Drosophila melanogaster: one gene and its partners. The protein of the gene in region 1 interacts with the protein of each later gene in a pairwise test. Each region holds a gene or a part of one and is shown in the gene's direction. Other genes may lie near its edges.

Region 1 (4,378 bases):
AGAAATATTTTGCTTTTCACTTTGGCATCGCGTTGCAAGTGACAAGTTGACAATCCACGCACTTTGTTCCAAAGCCCGGACAAATGGAATTAGATGCCGAATTAGGACTAAAACAGCTTGAATTTGATTTCAATACGAGCAGCTGAGATCTGGAAAACTTAAAGCGGCGTAGGAGGAACGAGAGCAGACAAGACCGGAAGCGCAGAGCATGAAACGGAAATGAATCAATTTCCGTGCTGCAGACCATTAAAAACTACAAAAGCCCTCGAAAGAAGCAGATGAAGTACAGGAAAACGAGAAACAAGAGTCGGCACAACAGATACAAAATATGGTTTTCTGTCTGGCGCCGTATGAACGATGACCTATGACCCGGTCAAGACGCATCTGTTGTATAGAAAACTGTAATTAAATCATGTCAATATGGAGATATTAATATAGACGTAATATTTTTGAAACTTTTAAATGAAATTTATGAATATAACACAAACATATTTGAATTTATCTCTTCTGATCTGAAATCATCATAAAATGATATCTAGATTTTTCTGCCACTTTGGTCTCTTCATTTTTCGTGGCATTGGACAAGTTCAAGAAGATGGTGTAGATAACATAGATGAAGCCAAACTCAATTGCTATCAAATAAAAGCCACAAAGATAATAAAGTTAGTAACTAATTTAAGGCAGAAAACGTACCCATGGTCAGCAGGGAGATCAAAATGTTGGTCAGTGCCTCAATAGCGTCGCCCACAAAAAGTTCGTAGACCCACCACAAAATGAGGAAGACATCGAAGACCAAACCACAGGCGCACCATATCAACCATAATGTCATAAGCTCCGGTTTTTGCTGAAAATACGAAGAGAATGAATGGAACGGAGTTGATGAGACTCAACGGGATACTTTTCACCCACAAATGAGATGCCAGCTATCATGAGCAGAGTGACCCCAATCCAAATATTCAGCATCAACAGGTAGCCCCAGAATATCCAAATGTTTTCGCTTTCACTCAGCTTTTTCCTTGTCAAGAGATCTCGAGTACATAAATTGGTTAGAACACTGCATTTGAGTACCTTTATTGAGTGCACTTACTGGGCAATGAATCTCTATGGCACTTCTCTTGTGCTTCAATCGATGCAACTTCTGATTTTTGTGCCAATCGACGACGTCGCATCATATAGAACATTATCATTTCGAAGAACAAAACTCCCGCAATGTCCATCCAGCCGATGGCCATTCCAAAAGCATTCAAAGCATTCATCACCTTCAACTTTTTCTTGTCCAATCACTATGGTTTTAGTTGATACTTAATGGTTTTTAAAAACATTTTATATGACAAATTTAGCAGTGTACCGAAAAATAAATAGGGTCTGAAATAAGATTGCTCAATAGGAAATGCGAACAAACTGGAGTTAAAGAAATACAAATAAAAATCTTAAGCTTGATAGATTTCATTTATTTAAGAACCTTTTTTTTACAATTTTCAAGCTTAAGTTTGATAAATACATTTGTTAAAGTGCCATAATTTATTTTAAAGAAACTGAGCCTCCATTACGGTTCCATCTCTACTCAAGTTTCCTGTTGCTTCTGTTGGAAAAACTTGAACTGGAAGTGAGATGTTTAAAAAGGCTTTGTCGCACCCCGGGGATCAAAATGTGCTCCCACTTTTTCGCCCAAGTTGCAAATGAGCGCGAAAAAAGTAAAATTATATTTGTCAACGGGGATTCCCCTCGTTCTTACTCACACTCACTACCACACACACGCTCACTCACACACAGGGTAAGAGCAGTGGCTATGTGTGTGTGTGTGTTTGCGTGAGCCGACGCCGCACGTATTTCATCAGCGTGGCATTATATGCATGGGTATATGCTTATATACTTACGTACACTATACGGTGGTATGTCTCATTTTTTCCCTGCATAAATAGATGCGACAACCATAGCAGCGGAACTTGGCTGTCATTTCCGTTTCCGTTTTGATACCGTGTGTGGAGTGTGATCGAACAACGTAGTAATTTGTTTAGCTGAGCTAAAAAAACATATTAAAATATACCCTAAATATGAAGAAAGATTTTAAGTAATTGTTAAATATGCTCTATCTATACATTTCAAAATTAATTATTTATAAATGTACTAGCAAATTTGAAGAAAACGGCTTAAAAATATACTTGTATTATCTATTTACACAATCATTAGTTATACACTCATTGAACTGATCATATGTTCCTATCTTCAACTGCCACAAATAATGTTTTCATTTTTCGATATGATCTCCAGCAAGAAATCGCTGTTGATATGGGCCTATGCTATAGGATGCTTTGATCTGATCAGCGCATTGCTTTTTTCCATGGTCAGTTTGAAGACAATTTGCGAACACGTAAGGCTACCCTTTAAATCTTTATATACAGTAGAAAATCTTCAGAAATCTTCTCACATTTTTCCAGCTAAGTTGGCTAACAATTTTTGCCGCTATTTTTGGCCTCTTTTGGATAACAATGATTGTGATGCTGCTGGTTGGCATTCATGGGGTATATTCGTATTTAAAAAGGTGGCTCACGGTGACAGTGTAATGGTATCCTTCGCTTAATTACAGCGCCATCCTAGTTGTGTTCGTGCCTGGATTATCTTCTCCTGCGTGGGAATCATGGTCGAGATGTGCCTGGTGTTGTATGCCGTTTTCAACGAGAGCTCCTTCCAAATGGGTCTGGTCAAAAATGGACTATTACTCATGGTGGGATTGAGTGAGTGCAATATTAGAAGTATCACCTTAAAATTAACTTTATATTTTTCTATCAGTTGTGGAGTGCATTTTTCTATACATCGTTCAACGGTTCTACGTGACTTTGGCCTTTTGCCAAGCCTGTCATAAGGCTATAGCCACAAAAATAGCACAACAGGAAGCTTGTATGGATTATGAAAGAGAACACAGTCACCAAAGGCATCATTTTAATTATGGCGAAACCAAAAGACCTATTCAAAACCAAAATAGCAGGGGAAAAATAGTTAAAAACTCTCCGTCACAACCAATGAAGATGGGTTTTTTCAGACCTTCAGACAGCAGCTCAACAACGTAAAATGAAGGGTTATATATATTTATTTTATAGCTAAAATATTAAAAGACAAGTTTGTAAAAATATTAAAAATATATTATTTATCTACAGGGCATGCAACTCTTCGAATTCGTTTAGCTGCATTTGTATCTCTAGATTTTTTCTTTACTCACTGCTGAGCAAATTATTTTAAAAGGATTTTGTGTTTAACATTGGCGTTCTTGTGTGTGTGTGTGTGAGTGGCTTGTGTAGGTGTGAGTGGTCCGCATCCTGCGTGTGATAAAAGTTAAAGAGCTTGTCTCAGACAAAAAGAAAAGTTCAAATCAATGCATTCAATTTCATGTTTATTTTAAAAATATAAAAATCAATACTTTAAACACTTAATACCTTCACTTTCGCATTTGTTTCTGAAGTTTTTTGAGAACGGCTTTATCTTTTTTCATACGCTCCTTGGCTTGTTTTTCCATCCGTTTCAGATCCTTGCGATCCAGTGGCTTTTCCTCTTCCTCAGCGTATTTCACATCACAGCCACTCCTTTCTCTATACTTCTCATCGGGAGGCGTTTCTGTTGCACTGTAATCAATCATATCCAGATAAAGTAGGTATATGATATAGACAAAAGTCATTTCCACGGCTAAAAGGAAATTCAATTATATATTCAGTAAATTAAATACGCTAATTATTATTTAGACCTACCCAGTCCTACGAAGGGCAGCACTGTGATTTTGACACCTTCCCAGTTCACAGATATGGCCAAGGTCAGGCCGTAGAGCAGTATAAATCCATCTAGAAGTATTCCCAAGCAGGTGAACACCAACCAGAATCGTACCAGTCCCAGTTTTCGCCTATAGATACCCGCCATCAAAACTATGATTATAACCATCCAGAAAATGGTGAAGATCAGTGCAACCAAGGCGGTCCAATGACCCTGCAAATACCAAAATTGAGCCACAATTTCCCTGAAAGGACTGTGGCCTAATTGTCTTACATGCCTGGCAAATACCACTCCTGAGATAATTGCGAATAGCAGGGCGGATATGAAGTCCAGCAAGGCGATGCAATAGGCACAGGGCACTAAATATCCATCAGAATTTGACCCCATCGCCCAGGCTAAGATTCATCACATCACTGGCAATGTTGTCTACTAAATCAAAGCTATAATGATGATAAGCACGTACTTGGCGATTGGAGAAGGGGGTTACTCGGGTCTTGGCGGCCTGTTAATCAAAGCCGTTTGATTGCCAACATTCATGGACACAGCACAGTGGTATTCAAGCGTGGGAATGTAGGGAGACTCAGTGGCCAAAAGTACAATACACTACAGAAGTTTTCAA
Region 2 (3,981 bases), about 12 Mb from region 1:
ATCAAGAATGTTTTCGATCTAGTTTTTGTTATTCGCTCTAAAAAACTCCATTTGGGCCCAAATAAAATAGCTAACTGCTTACGAAAGAATCTGAATGCCCCTTATTGATGTTTTTCCCATTTCGTTACTTATATTTTGGTGTTCAAAATACAAGAATTACACAGTGATTAGTGATTACCTAGTGTTGGCAAATTCGAGAAATAAATGATCAATGATCAATGTCTAGTTCGAAATTCACATCAAATATATTGTGGTTTATTGAAGAAAACTTTCAACATATGAGTGGCTTAGAATGAGTACATTTGTTATTTGCGTAGCATGACAACCCTCGGCTATTTGTTAACAAATCCTACTCGTATCCTGAACATAGGCCAGATGGTTAGAAGTGCATTGCGTATTACATTTTAACTTCGATCCTAGCTTGTTTGTAAATTAAGAAGTGCTACCACTAAAATTACTTCTAAGTTGCCTGTGGTACTTGCGTTTAATTGTTCGTTTGATCATTCGAATAGTGCGATCGGAGGCCATTCGACGAAGCCATGCTCCATCAAAACGCCAAATCCTCCGAAGACAGCAATTCTGGCTGCTTGCCGTTTAGATAGAGGTGGCTCGGGGGGGGGGGGGGGGGCAGCTCTGACAATGAGTGAGCAACGATAATCTATTATGACCGTAACAAGAAATAAATCCCAACTCGGTAATCCATCATTTTACGAGTTGGCAATCAAAACAAGGGGTTTAGCTAAGAGTTGGTCTCCCGGCCCCAAGGACGGACAGGTGGACCGGGCTGACGGACGGCGGCCTGGCCAATCAGCGGACTGGCCATCACACATAGCTGGCCAGCGAGCTAACGAACAGGCCGTGTATGATGGTCGTGTAAGCGCTGGCCAGAACCAGGAAACTAAGATTGGACCTGGACGGGAACACGACTTTCGGACAGCCGCGTGCGCATTGAGGCCAATCTGTATGTAACGTGAGGACTCGCCCGGGCTGGCAGGTCTAGGCCTTTAGGGGCCGGCTAAATAGTTGCCAATAATCCGTGTCCAAACTGATCGGGTTGCCGTTTATGGTAATGGGCAAAATTAGATGCCGAAATGTGCGTTGGCTCGCCAGGCTTCATTACCAATGCACAAACTTGGCAGTGCGTCCCGACTGATTGGCCACTCGGCCACGGTTGCCGGCCAGCGGTCTGCATTGTTATTGCTTCATCAAGTGTGCAGCGGCCAGCTTATCCAGCACGTCCGGTGTCCACAATATCCATAGTGTCCAGCACTCGCGGCAGAAGCCCAAGCAGTGACTGCGTGGCATAGACCCGACCCCTGGGAGTATTGCGAACTGCTCAAACATTTTCGAAATCGCATTCAGAGGTGAAGGTGCAACAGTTGCTGGCGTATCTTGTTTCGACGGCCTCGGGTGCAGTTAAAGGGCTTAAAGGGGCGGCAGGCCAGTTAAAGAAAAATATGGGTTAGATTCTTCCGCAGCGCCATGCCAGCGGTCAATACAAAGCAAAATTGAAACGCGGTTCTCTCCGCCTCCGTTTAGTACCGCCTGAGGAAGAACAGAAGCTGTGCAGCATTGACAAAAACCAACCCAAAACCAATAGCTATAATAATGTATAAATATCATTTTTGAATAATAGAAAACTTTCAATTACTAGTAAAAGGTACTCTTTCGAATTTTCGATGCTTGGTATAAAAAAATACCTCTGAAGCAGATAGAAAAACATTCAAATATTTTGACTACGATTTACTTTTAATCTGACTAAATTCGAGTGAGATTTTATTCGTTGCAAGAATTTTGTAATATTTATTGTAATGTATCGTTGTTTCGTTATCTTTGGACAACGTCTATACTCACATATATGCATATACGTTTTTGACTTTCGCCTGCAGTCAAAAATTTATTCAGTCGGCTTTATTTTCTTTTAAACTATATTTATTTTATATTTTGTTTGGGTAAATAAAGTATTCACTATTGACTGGCAAGTGAATTTTGTACAACTTGCTACGACATTTTTATGTTCAGATGGAGGCAAATACAGCCCCAGGTTAATTGATGGCTTTCTAACTTATGAAATGCGTTATTTAATTATAAAGACTTTTTTAAACGCGCGCTTCCGTCCCAGAGACATTGTTCAACACTAGTCGGCCGGACGTGTCATCAGAGTAACCCGACCAGAAACTGCATGAAATAAGCAGCACTGTCGACAGTCAAAAGCTGCCTGCTTTTAGCCAGCCCAGTCGAACGTTTCTTCTTCTTCTTTGGCCCAGAAACAACTTGTTGAACGAAAGAAGGCCAGCTCTCTGTTTTGTTGCTCCACGCACACACATTCCGACGAGTGTTACACGTCACCAGATTAAAGGAACTATCGCAAAAACTATCAGTGATAAAGATGCGCCAGCTGAAGGGAAAGGTGAAGGAGACGCGCAAACAGAAGAAGGAGCGCAAGCTGGACAACCTGGAGACCCAGGCGAAGATCCGCACCGTGGTGCTGCCGGCGCTCGGCGTTTTGGCGGTCTTTCTGGTGCTGTTCGTCTACTTGAAGACCCGCCCCGCGGTCTTGGCCTAATGTAGTCATAAAATGTAGTTTATAGTCGTGGTCAGTGCAATTGAATCGTTGTAAAGACATATAGCCTTAATAGTACAATTAAATCACAGTTCGTCCATCCAAAAAGCATGTTTTACATAAAGTGGATTTTCCATGACACGAACAACACCCTGCTGTTCAAGTGCAGTTCCTGGGAATTTGAGATTTGGGGACAAAATGTATCCGAATTACGGTCGTTGGTGGTAGTGTTGAAAACCGTCTAGCGCTTTGGCGGTTGATTAAAAAAGGGCACTAGGAAACGGTAAAAACCGTAGCAGAGGCACTTCAATATGTAAATATGTGCATATGTATATTAGAGAAGGCGGCATCCACCAACATGTTTTATTTTTGGCCGTTTTGCGTTCAGTTTTTAATTGCGATTGCCCTTGTTTCAGTTTCACTTACGCCCGTCCACCGAGGAGCTCGTCGTCGGTGACCGCAAACTAATAATTGTTAATACATATGCATATGCATGTACATAAATTGAAGTAAAAGTTCAGTGCTCGAAAGGCAGTAACTTAACTCCATAGTTATCAGAGTCAGCCAAATACGATTACCTAACCATACAAACACAAATCGCAGTGGGCCAGTCAGCTGTTTTCAGATTCCGAGCAGCTGCAGACGAAGCGCCGAAGCAGCGTCGTTTGACGTTTCTTTTTCACATTCTCTCACTTTTGCTAAGACTCTCACGCTGGCGGCTGCGGGTGACAAAGGCTCCTTTAACTATTCCACTATGCTCAAGTTTCTGGTAAGTTTTCCGGTTTCCTGATGTTTTTAAGTTTATGATTCACACCTGAAATCATATCAGATACGAGATACAACTTTTCTGTGGTTTTTGTGGTTGTGTTGCTTTTCGCGGCGATGACGCGCCCCTGCACAGTGGTGAAATGTGTTGTCTAGGGGTTCAAAATCAAAACCAATTATTTGATTAAATATTAATGATTAATATAAATGACAAAATGTAATACATTTGAAAATACCTTCCCAATATCTAACTTCAACAAATAAAAAAATAGTATTAAAAGTTTAAGCAAAATTCAAAATATTCTTGCTCGGATAAAACAAGAGTGGATTGGTAAAACGGTAGAAAGTGCGCCAAAACACCAGTTAAATAGATTCCAAAATTGGTTCAATTTGAGTTTACTTCCCAGTGTGCGCTGTTTGAATACATACATAAGTGACTTTTGGTTCAACGTTATATAAGGCCTCACAAATTCAAATATCCACAAAAATAAAATAATCACCTAGTCGTTGGAAATTATGTCGACCATGACCGCTCAAGCCATGAGTAAACAGATTCGGACTCTTTGAAAAACAACACAGGCCTCACCAAATTGATCGTTTATATAGACTGGAAGTTAAAATGAAACTGCTTGGACTTGGGGCGCAGGTTTTGA
Region 3 (4,348 bases), 6.3 Mb from region 1:
TCCCTAGTTTTAGGCAAAGCGAAATTGAATTGTCAGACTTGTTAAGTTTCAGTTATACCTACGCGGGATTTGAGGCCATCTGAACGAACAGATTAGCCTCGAATGTTACAATATGCAAGTTAATAATATCGAGAAAATAAACACAAACGAAGTAATGAAGCGGCAAACATGGAAAGGCAGAAAATCGTTTACAATAAGTTAATATAGCAAATGTATATATTAAATTATTTATTTATTACTTTATTTGATAGCTGCGAAATAATAAAAAGTTTACTTTTATTAAGCGACAAGTGTTTTAATGCGTTCTAATAGTACCTCTGATTATCGGAGCTTGGGAACGACTGATAAGGAAACGCAAACAAAGCTAATGCAAACTTTATCAGTGTGATGAAATGTTTGTGTGGGGGGCTTTGATAACAGCCCTTGTGTTGGCCGTGACTGGAAGTTTTGGTATAAACAAAACAAGTTTGGCAAAACGAATGAATAGAATAAAGAATAATATGGTTCGCATTGTCATACAAGCGAGGCAAATAGGAATATAAAATACGATCATCTTGAATTTGCTAACTAATGATCATAAACCTGTGTTCAAAAGTATACTACACACTTTTATTAGAACTATGATGCCGAGGAAAATCTTTGCGTGTGCCTGTTTATTTGCCGAGCACAACTTCGAGATCATGAATACACGCAGAAAAACACTTTTTAGCTGAGATATTTAAAAAACAAGAATGACCGATTTAAAATCGGCTAGTTTTGCCAATAGAATTAAAAAGGCAAATGAATTATTGGTTAAAAATGATATCTACGCTGGATGCTTTCCTCCACAGTTTCAATAAAACCAAGAGAAGTACGAAAATACATGTAAATTTATTGCAACACACTTATTTACATATTGATCTAATCCCTTTGAGCTTAAACACTTTAAAAACAACAGCGGACGCTAATCCGCAACTGGAATCGGATTAATGCGCGCATCCATTATAGCCGCCTGAGGTTTGTGTCCCTGGGACAATACATACGATTTCGTTCAAAAATATTGACTACATCTAGGTTGAACTAAAGCGAATTAGCACTCAAATTTGTAACAATTGATAACAGTGGTGGTGTCTATCTACGCGGCACGTGCGTCATTGATGGTGGAGGGCACATGTACCTCCAGGCCCTCCATATCCTTGGACAGGGTGATCTGGCAGCCCAGCCGCGAGGTGTCCGTCAGTTCGTACGCCAAATCCAGCATGTCCAGCTCCTCATCACCGGGTTTGTCGGGCAGTTTCTCGAAATCGCTGGTCTTGAAGATCAGGTGGCAGGTGGAGCAGGTCAGCGTGCCCTCACAGGCCCCGAAACCATCCAGATCCACATTGTTGTTGACCACCACGTCCAGCAGGGAGTCACCCACTTTTCCGGACGTCTTAATCTTGTCCCCATTGGCACGCACGAAGGTTATGTTAACACTGCAATAGCGAGATTGGTCAATGTTTACGCTGCTCTGGCGGTGTGGAGCTACCATTGTAGTGCTCGTGGGGTGGAGAAGATACTCACACATCTTTCGTTTTCAGGGCCAATCCCGTCGAGAAAGTACGCGTTGCGATCGGCGATCGCAAATTGAGGCTGCGTAGCGCCAATCTGGAGGCAGCTCTGCATGAGTTTATGACTAGCATTCTGGTTAGGATTCCTTTGCAATCTCTTACTATAACTGACAACACGCACCCACTCGTGTCGCTGCGATCGGTTGTTAAATAATAAGGAAATCAATTAAATTTTGTTAAACGTGAAGTTGTGTGTGACCGTATTGGACTTTCTGAAAAAGACGTCGTGCCTTTAACGTACTAAAAAACAACAACAAACTGCATAAGCAGTAATTTTAAAGTTAAACATTTAAATGTTTGCACAAATTATTGCACAAAATATTTAATTAACAGCAACTTTCTTTTTATAACGGAGTTAATTTGTGTTACACAAAAAGTATATGTTACTGCTGCAGTTCAGGTGTGAACACACTAAATACTGAAACAGGGTTGCTACAGCGAGTGAAGAAACCCTGTATTCACCTGCAGACAGACAACCCTGTGCGTCAAAACAAGAAGATTTAAGAGTGGAATAAATTTAATTACGTTTTAAAACCTAAACAATGGGCGTGTTGGACAATATTGCGTTGCATTTCACGGGGGATGCGTCCAGGAACAGGAACACCTCCATAATAGCCGGACTTCTGGTAGGCTAACACCCGCAAACAAAGAGCCGCCCGCCTGACAGTGCAACTTTTTCTCCTTAGTTTTTCGCAGGATGGTGGGTTCTAATCGATGCCATGTCCATCGACGGCAAGCACCAGATTACCACAGGACACGTCTTCATCGGCATCTTCGGGACCATCAGCTTCTGCATGGTGAACGCAGTGAAGGGAGAACATGTAACACACACTTATCATTGGGCTTAACAAGTGACTCACTTCTTTTGTTTGTGCGCAGATTTCTGATGAGAACTCATCGGAGTCCGGCGCCAGGATAGCGAAGATCTGGCTGCTTGTGGGCTTCCTAATGGGTTTTGCCTCCATCATTGCCGCCATCTGGGTGATGATCGACGACTTCATCAACAATGGTGAGAAATAAACAGATATTTAAGGATTCCTTAGCTGAATTGCACCCACTTATCGTTTTTCAGAAAAGAAGGATGGCTGGTTTGGCGTGGCTCTGCTGATGCAAAACGTCTTCATCCTGTTCGCCAGTTTGGTCTACAAGTTTGGACGCAACGAGGAAGAGTGGAATGAGTAAAGCTTCCATTCAAATTATTGCACAAGGGAACGCAGCTTTTAGTATCTAGACTCATTACGTACATAATCAGGAGTCCAAGGAGTTTATGCTTGAGGCCGAGGACACCATCACTCGCAAATCCTCACCCCACACATTGAAGCGTAAAATGTCCAACTCTGCTACTGTTCATATTCGAAAAAATCGTCGAGTCTGTACGGATTTCCCTCACTATTTCCGACATTCTGCCGCTTTGAATCGGAAAAGGGCGCAGAGCAGGGCCAATAATCTCATTTATATTTAACAAAATAAACGACAAGTCACTTGCGTAAGGCCACCTTTGAGCTGTACTTTATTTTCAGGCAGAGAGCGTTGTGAGAAGCAACAGGACGATCAACCCAAGCCGCCCGCTGCCCCGACTACATCTACAAGGATAGCGACCGTTAAGAGAAATGGTTTAATAGCTGGTCAAACTTGTGCATCGTACGCGTCAATGGGACACTCGTGCTCGTTTTGCAGGCACCACTGCGGCTGCATGGCCTCTGCGCCCAGACCATTGTCCACCAGTCGCTGGCGGTGGAGCAGCAGACGTGACTCCGCCTGGCGCCAACCTTCGGCAGGATTTGACCAAAGTCGTTCGGCCAGGGCACTGGCCCTGGGCCAGAAGCGGTTGTCCAGTGTGTGCTCGTCGATCTGCTCTGACCAAATGGCTCCCTCCGCGCCCAATACATGATGCTCGTAGTCGCCGGCAATGGATTTCAAACTATTGTCGTACACCTTCTGCCAGCCAATGTAGGGGGAGCACCAGTTGTTTCCATCGGTCACCCAGCCAGCTCCGCCGCAATCCAAGTACAGGGCATCGTAGTTGGACACAATGATCTTGTAGCCCCGCTCCAGAATCTTCTTTACCTTCGGATCTACACCAGTGGTCCAGATCTGAATGATGTAACGCTCTGGGTTCAGATACTCGTCAATGAAGGGCTCCTCAGTGAGTCCACTAGTCCACAGAATGATGGGCGTGTGCGTACCATTGGCCACCTTGTCCACGCGACCAAGAGCCTCCGTCTGGAAGTGTCCCCACAAGCGCATAAAGTCGGCGGTCTCCAGGCCCCAACCCTGTTTCTTCATCCACTGCTGGATGGGCTGGCTGCTGTTCCAGCAGCTGGTTGACACTTCATCGCCGCCCATGTGGAAGATATCCGGGTTGAACTGATCGAACATGGTGCCGTAAATGTCCTCCAGCACATCGTACATTTCGTTCACAGTGGGATCGAGTTGGCCACACGGTGGCTCAACGCAGAACGACTTCCATGGCTGGGCATTGAAGCAGGCGGTCATGTTCTTGTGCTGCCAGCCCTCACCCACATGGGCAGGGGCATCGAACTCTGGCATAACACGGATGCCTCGCACGCGGCCGTACTCCACAACCTCGGCCACGTCCCGACGGGTGTACACCTGCCGTTGGGAATAGGCTCCCAGCTTGTGCAGCTCCGGACGCTTCTTCACCTCCAATGGGAAGCTGTGCGAGTCCGTGATGTGCCAGTGGAAGGTGTTCAGTTTGACCAAGGCCATGCCCTCTAAGGAGGAAAAAAGGATACTCA
Region 4 (5,287 bases), on another chromosome or scaffold:
ACCACACAATTTACAATTGTGAAAAAATCAACACGATTTTCAAAGGTGTGAGCGTGGCAGAGCTGCGTCTTTTTTTTTATTTTTAAAATCTGTATGCTGAATCTCAACCTTCTAGCTTTTATAGTTTCTGAGATCTCGACGTTGATACGGACAGACGGTCATGGGCAGATCGACTCGAGTATTGATTCTGATCAAGAATATATACACTTTATATAGTCGATAACGCTTCATTCTGCCTGTTACATACATTTCAACGAATTTAGTATAAAAAAAGACACTATGGGCTGAATCAAAGACATTAGAATAATTATTCTAGTGTCTTTTGCTGAATGGTACTGAAAGGATAAAGATATTTAGTTTGTGTTTTTATATTGGGTATCTTATATAATACCAAAAATTATATATTTTTATAGGTTTTTTTTGGTAACTCCTAAACGGAGAAAGGCTGTTTTTGTGCATTGACTTACACTTGACCAAAGACACTAGAATAAACTAGAATTCTAGTGTCTTTGACTTGACTATATCTTTAAGAACCCAGAAATTGTGTGCGTGGCCCTTTACATTTAATGAACAAATTTTCGTATAGGGGTTTCTTTAATTTCGTATGCTTTTTCTAGGCCAAGCAAAAAACAACTGAATTCATGATAGTAATTGCATATTAAGTTATTTTACTATTTATTTTATTTTTTATTTATTTTTTAATGATAACCATAAAAATAATAAAAATTAATGAAACAAATCAGCTAGAGCTATGTTTAACTCGCTTTTAGCTGAAATTAATCTTCTTTTGTCTGCCATTTGGATCCTAAAGTGCGAAAAAGTGAACTTTAAGAATGAACATTCGAATGAAGAAGGATTACATTATCTACAACGTAGTATAGGTATTATGTTGAAACTAGGTAAAACTCATGTTTAAATCTCAAGTTAAAAATAAATTGGTTTAGCTCATACACCTAACAGCGCTACGGGACTTTTTTGAAATACGCAACACTAAAAACTAATCCTATACTAACATAATGATGTAATCAAAACATAGGTAAAACGAGACACTTGATTAAAGTGTAGACAGTAACTATATATGACCGGAATTAAAAATAAAAATAATTGATTGAAATAAAGCATATTTTTATGAGATAAAATAACGGAAGCACGAACATTTCCTTAAACTTATAGGCCCATATATTGGGACGAATAAAAGTAAAACCAAAATTATTCTACACGTAAGTACTTTACCGGAACTGGCAACACACAGCAGTTAGCAAAGATATTTTGGAATTTTTTTTAATCCACTTTTAGTTCAAAAACTTTCTTTTCAAGCCTGTGGATCGATGTTTAAGAAAATTGATTACCAATATGCCTCCATGTTGGTCATGATAGGCTAAGAGAAATTAAAAGGTAAGCATACAGATTCCAAAAACATATAAGCAGCAGAAGTTTGCTGACCCACCTACTCTAACGAAGAATATAATGAGAAAAAAATGGGCGGTTTGTGGGTGTTAGAGTGTGCGTGGTAAAAAGTTTTTTTTAGCAAGTCGTTAGAAATTTGGAAGACTAATATGAAATATGAAAAAATATAAAAATATTTTTCAAATGTGTGGGCGTGACAGTTCTGGTCGGTTTACGGGAGTGGCAATATGGGTCAACAAACTTGTGATACGTCTATGTTATTAGAATCAGTATTCTTATTCTTAACATTATAGCTTTTAATGTTCCTGAGATCTCGAGGTGGATACGGACGGAGGAACAGACAGACGGACAGGGCCAGATCAGAAATATATAGACTTTATATGGTCTACATCTATTACATACTTTCAATGAATATAATAAATTTGTTTTCGTTTTGTTGTTTGCTTGCCAATTTCTATGGGAATACACTTTGGTCACGACCCTCCTTACACCTACAAAACGGTCAAAACGGCTACGCACTCACTTTTTAAAACAATATCGATTGATATCCCTGAAAAATGATGAAATTTCGGGTTCGCATTTCGACTAGCTGAGTAACTGAAATGAAAAAATAACATGAAAACATGAACAAAATTGAAAATTTAGTTTTATGATTTACGTTCGTTTTAAAACCAAATATATCTGTTTGATTGTTGTTTAGATAAAAAGCTAAACGCATTAGTAATAATTTATAGCTCCTCGTTTACTTATCTAATACTCACCAAGTTATAACAGCGGTGGCTTCATCTAGGGGCACAAGTGTGTATGCTAACCACTTGAGGTCTAGCATCAAGCAAAGTGCTTGTCGTACAACCCTCTTTCAGCTTGAGCCATCAAAAGGCAACAATAACAACGGAGACTTTTTCGAAGAACGCTATAAAAGCGAACGCGGGCTATCCACTTCTAGTCATAAAGTAGTCGCCAACAGCATGTTGAAAACTATATCGATTGGTGTTCTTATCGCCCTCAGTGGGGCCATCATTGCAGAAGGAAAACCTGTCCTTATTAAGGTTTTCGCTCCCAGCGGTGGTATATTATTTGCTGTTTGGGGTAAATTACAAACTTTAGTGTTACTTCTTTCTCCACAGGCTACTCCAGTGCCAGTTACCAAAATACAGTGGGAGCATCGCCTTTCACCAGTCAGCTTATCTCTGGTCTTATCTCATCAAAAATTCAACTGTTGAACAGCGTGCTACAGACCAAGTCTTCTTCCGGGGGGTTCCGTATTGGTTTCAATAAGTCTGTCAATTTATTTGGCCCCACAAGCGCCACGAGCACCACCGAAAGGCCTGTGACACACCATACCACCGAGGTAAACACAGACTTTACTCCGGATGAATCTAGTAGGACTACTCAACTTTTTTACTCGACAACAACAGAAAGTTTTGTCGAAACGCCGATCCCCACAATACATCCCGAGCCACCAGCCACTACCACTTCAGTGATCCCAATAGAGAGCACCACATCCGTAACACAACCACCCATCTTGACGACACCAAAACCTGGATACTCCTATCGCACCCCCATTTCCCCCACCAATTAGTTCGGTGAAAATCTATTTTTTGTCAACTCAAATAACGCAGCCCCAGCAATGTTCGCAAATGAGTAAATTTCTATAATTAAGTGACTAATTTGCGATGAATTGGGAGAACTGTTTCTTAAGTTAATCCAGGTATAGATAAAGCGGAAGCTATTCAAGGCTTGTCGCACATTGTTCATTTTCACATCAAAGAGCTCTGTGCGATTGTTGTCTGACAAGTCATGGGGATTATTAGCATAGAAACTGGTTTTTAGAGAATTATGTGGGCTACAAGGGAAGTGTTAAATGTTTCATTAACCACTTTTCAAGTTTTACAGGCAGATTCTAGCGCCCGTTCCAAGTCGCATCTGCAAATGACTTGGTTCAAGGCAAACGAATTTCTTTGTCTGGGGCATAACAATCAATTCCGCAGATCTGTATGTTATTAAATATTTTACAGTGTTTGGCAAGTTAGTATCTATCATCGAATTACTTATTTACATTTCAACTAATATATAAATGGTTTAAATTTAATATATCAGCAGTATATCTGCTATTAATTATAAAGAAGAGAGAATGTTATAGTAGTGTGAATGCGAGGGGAAATATCATAATTTTTCTGGGATATGGGTGGATATTGGGGAATGAAAAGAAAAAAAAGGTTAATTGGGCGTGGCCGGTTCGGCGGCTTTAGGGCGTTTATATGGGCGTGGCAAAAAGATTCTTGCAAATCGATTAAAATTTACAGGACTAAAAAAATTATGAAAAAATATTAAGCAATTTTTCAAAAGTGTGGACGTGACCCTTTTGGATGTTTTTTAGGTGAAAGGCGTGGCCAGTGTTTTTGGTAAACAGATAAAAATTGTCAAGGCAAATAATAAAACGAAGAAAATCTAAACATTTTTCAAAAGTGTGGGCGTGACAACTTTCTGCGCCTTTGGGGCGTTAGAGTGGTCGTGGCAATCAGTTATGTAGAAATTTACAGGACTAATAAAATTATGAAAAAATACCCATAATCTTTTCAAAAAAGTGATCGTGGCAGTTTTGTTCGGCTTGTGGGCGTTAGAGTGGGCGTGGCAACAATGCTCTGCGTCTATGTCTCTAGAACCTGTATGAATCTCAACCTTCTAGCATTTATAGTTCCTCATATCTCGACGTTCATACGGACAAACAGACAGGGCTAGATCGACTCGCTTTTGATCCTGATCAGAAAACTCTTGTTTTTGCCTGTTTCATAATTTTCAAGGAATCTAGTATACCCTTTTACTCTACGAGTATGAAAAAGAGAATGAAAAGAGAAATGAACAACAAAACGCGAAAAACAAGGACTGTTTAATTTTAAAGAAAATCACATAAATCTCTTTAAAGCTAAATATATTTATTTATCATCCCGGCTTCGCTTTCAAATATAATTCTGGTACACTGGCTGAACACAACAGACAAAATATTGAACAAAAGCAAGAATAACGTTACAGTCATAATAACGGTATTGCAATTAAAAATACCCACTCAAAATCTTTAGAAAAGTAACGAAAAATCTCCCTTTTAATATTTAACATTTTACCCAATAACTCGAAGAGGATGAAGTTGGAATATTTAGTTCAAAACTTCTAAAGCACAACAACCTTGGTATAAAACCGCTACTAACGAAATATTTCTAATGTCTCACATTTCTACAACCATTTATAATTAAAAACGAAACAACAACTTGTACTTCCCAGAATAGTCGGAAACCATTTTATATTTAATACATTAAATCTTATATACTCATAACGTGGAATATAACTGAAGAAAAATTTAATACAAATTGTGAAAATCAAGACATTTTAATTGACAATAACAAAATTATAAAAGTATTCAGTTGTACGTACAGCAAAGTTAAAAGACATTTCAAAATGAAATAATATTTAACAATACCTAATATTTGCCAAGCGCAATATAACAAAAGCTTAAGTAAAAGAAATGATTAAGTTAACATATGCAAACATAATAATTTCATATTTTATTTTTATACGAAATGCAAGACAGCGCCAACTAACATTATAATAACCTCTCTAAAACCTAAAATATGTAAAAAAGTGAACAAAAATATTAAAATAGTTATTGAAAAAATACTGCAATATTAGACATTGAAAATACGGTACCACAATTATACCCTTGAGGCCAAGCGACCATCTAAAAGGCGGGGATGTGACATATTCAATCTCGATATGAGAAACTTAAGCCGAACTTTTGAAAAACTTTAATCTTTAAAAGACTCATAGTGCAGAATCATACCATTAAACAATATAAAGCTTAAATTATCGATAAAAAACAGTCTTC

What was found.
Region 2: the proteins of CG34238 (region 1) and CG33169 interact in a two-hybrid assay, tested with the Drosophila melanogaster proteins (one large-scale study listed by BioGRID).
Region 3: the proteins of CG34238 (region 1) and CG15012 interact in a two-hybrid assay, tested with the Drosophila melanogaster proteins (one large-scale study listed by BioGRID).
Region 4: the proteins of CG34238 (region 1) and CG40198 interact in a two-hybrid assay, tested with the Drosophila melanogaster proteins (one large-scale study listed by BioGRID).

Annotation. Positions count from the first base shown.
Region 1 is NT_037436.4:10,624,308-10,628,685, forward strand, and holds CG34238 (uncharacterized protein), read left to right. Parts: upstream 1-2,191; 5' UTR 2,192-2,260; coding exon 2,261-2,371; intron 2,372-2,438; coding exon 2,439-2,522; intron 2,523-2,587; coding exon 2,588-2,735; intron 2,736-2,790; coding exon 2,791-3,068; 3' UTR 3,069-3,132; downstream 3,133-4,378. Other genes in the region: CG43127 (uncharacterized protein), read right to left, coding at 499-632, 694-844, 910-1,028, 1,088-1,256; CG14151 (uncharacterized protein), read right to left, coding at 3,434-3,678, 3,741-3,972, 4,033-4,146.
Region 2 is NT_037436.4:22,861,594-22,865,574, forward strand, and holds CG33169 (uncharacterized protein), read left to right. Parts: upstream 1-2,270; 5' UTR 2,271-2,389; coding exon 2,390-2,566; 3' UTR 2,567-2,903; downstream 2,904-3,981. Other genes in the region: CG33170 (uncharacterized protein), read left to right, coding at 3,948-3,981.
Region 3 is NT_037436.4:4,289,937-4,294,284, reverse strand, and holds CG15012 (uncharacterized protein), read left to right. Parts: upstream 1-2,038; 5' UTR 2,039-2,131; coding exon 2,132-2,215; intron 2,216-2,275; coding exon 2,276-2,410; intron 2,411-2,468; coding exon 2,469-2,598; intron 2,599-2,661; coding exon 2,662-2,771; 3' UTR 2,772-3,077; downstream 3,078-4,348. Other genes in the region: Fdx2 (ferredoxin 2), read right to left, coding at 1,115-1,454, 1,543-1,661; Hexo1 (hexosaminidase 1), read right to left, coding at 3,106-3,172, 3,235-4,324.
Region 4 is NT_033777.3:4,159,296-4,164,582, reverse strand, and holds CG40198 (uncharacterized protein), read left to right. Parts: upstream 1-2,347; 5' UTR 2,348-2,375; coding exon 2,376-2,475; intron 2,476-2,534; coding exon 2,535-2,989; 3' UTR 2,990-3,973; downstream 3,974-5,287.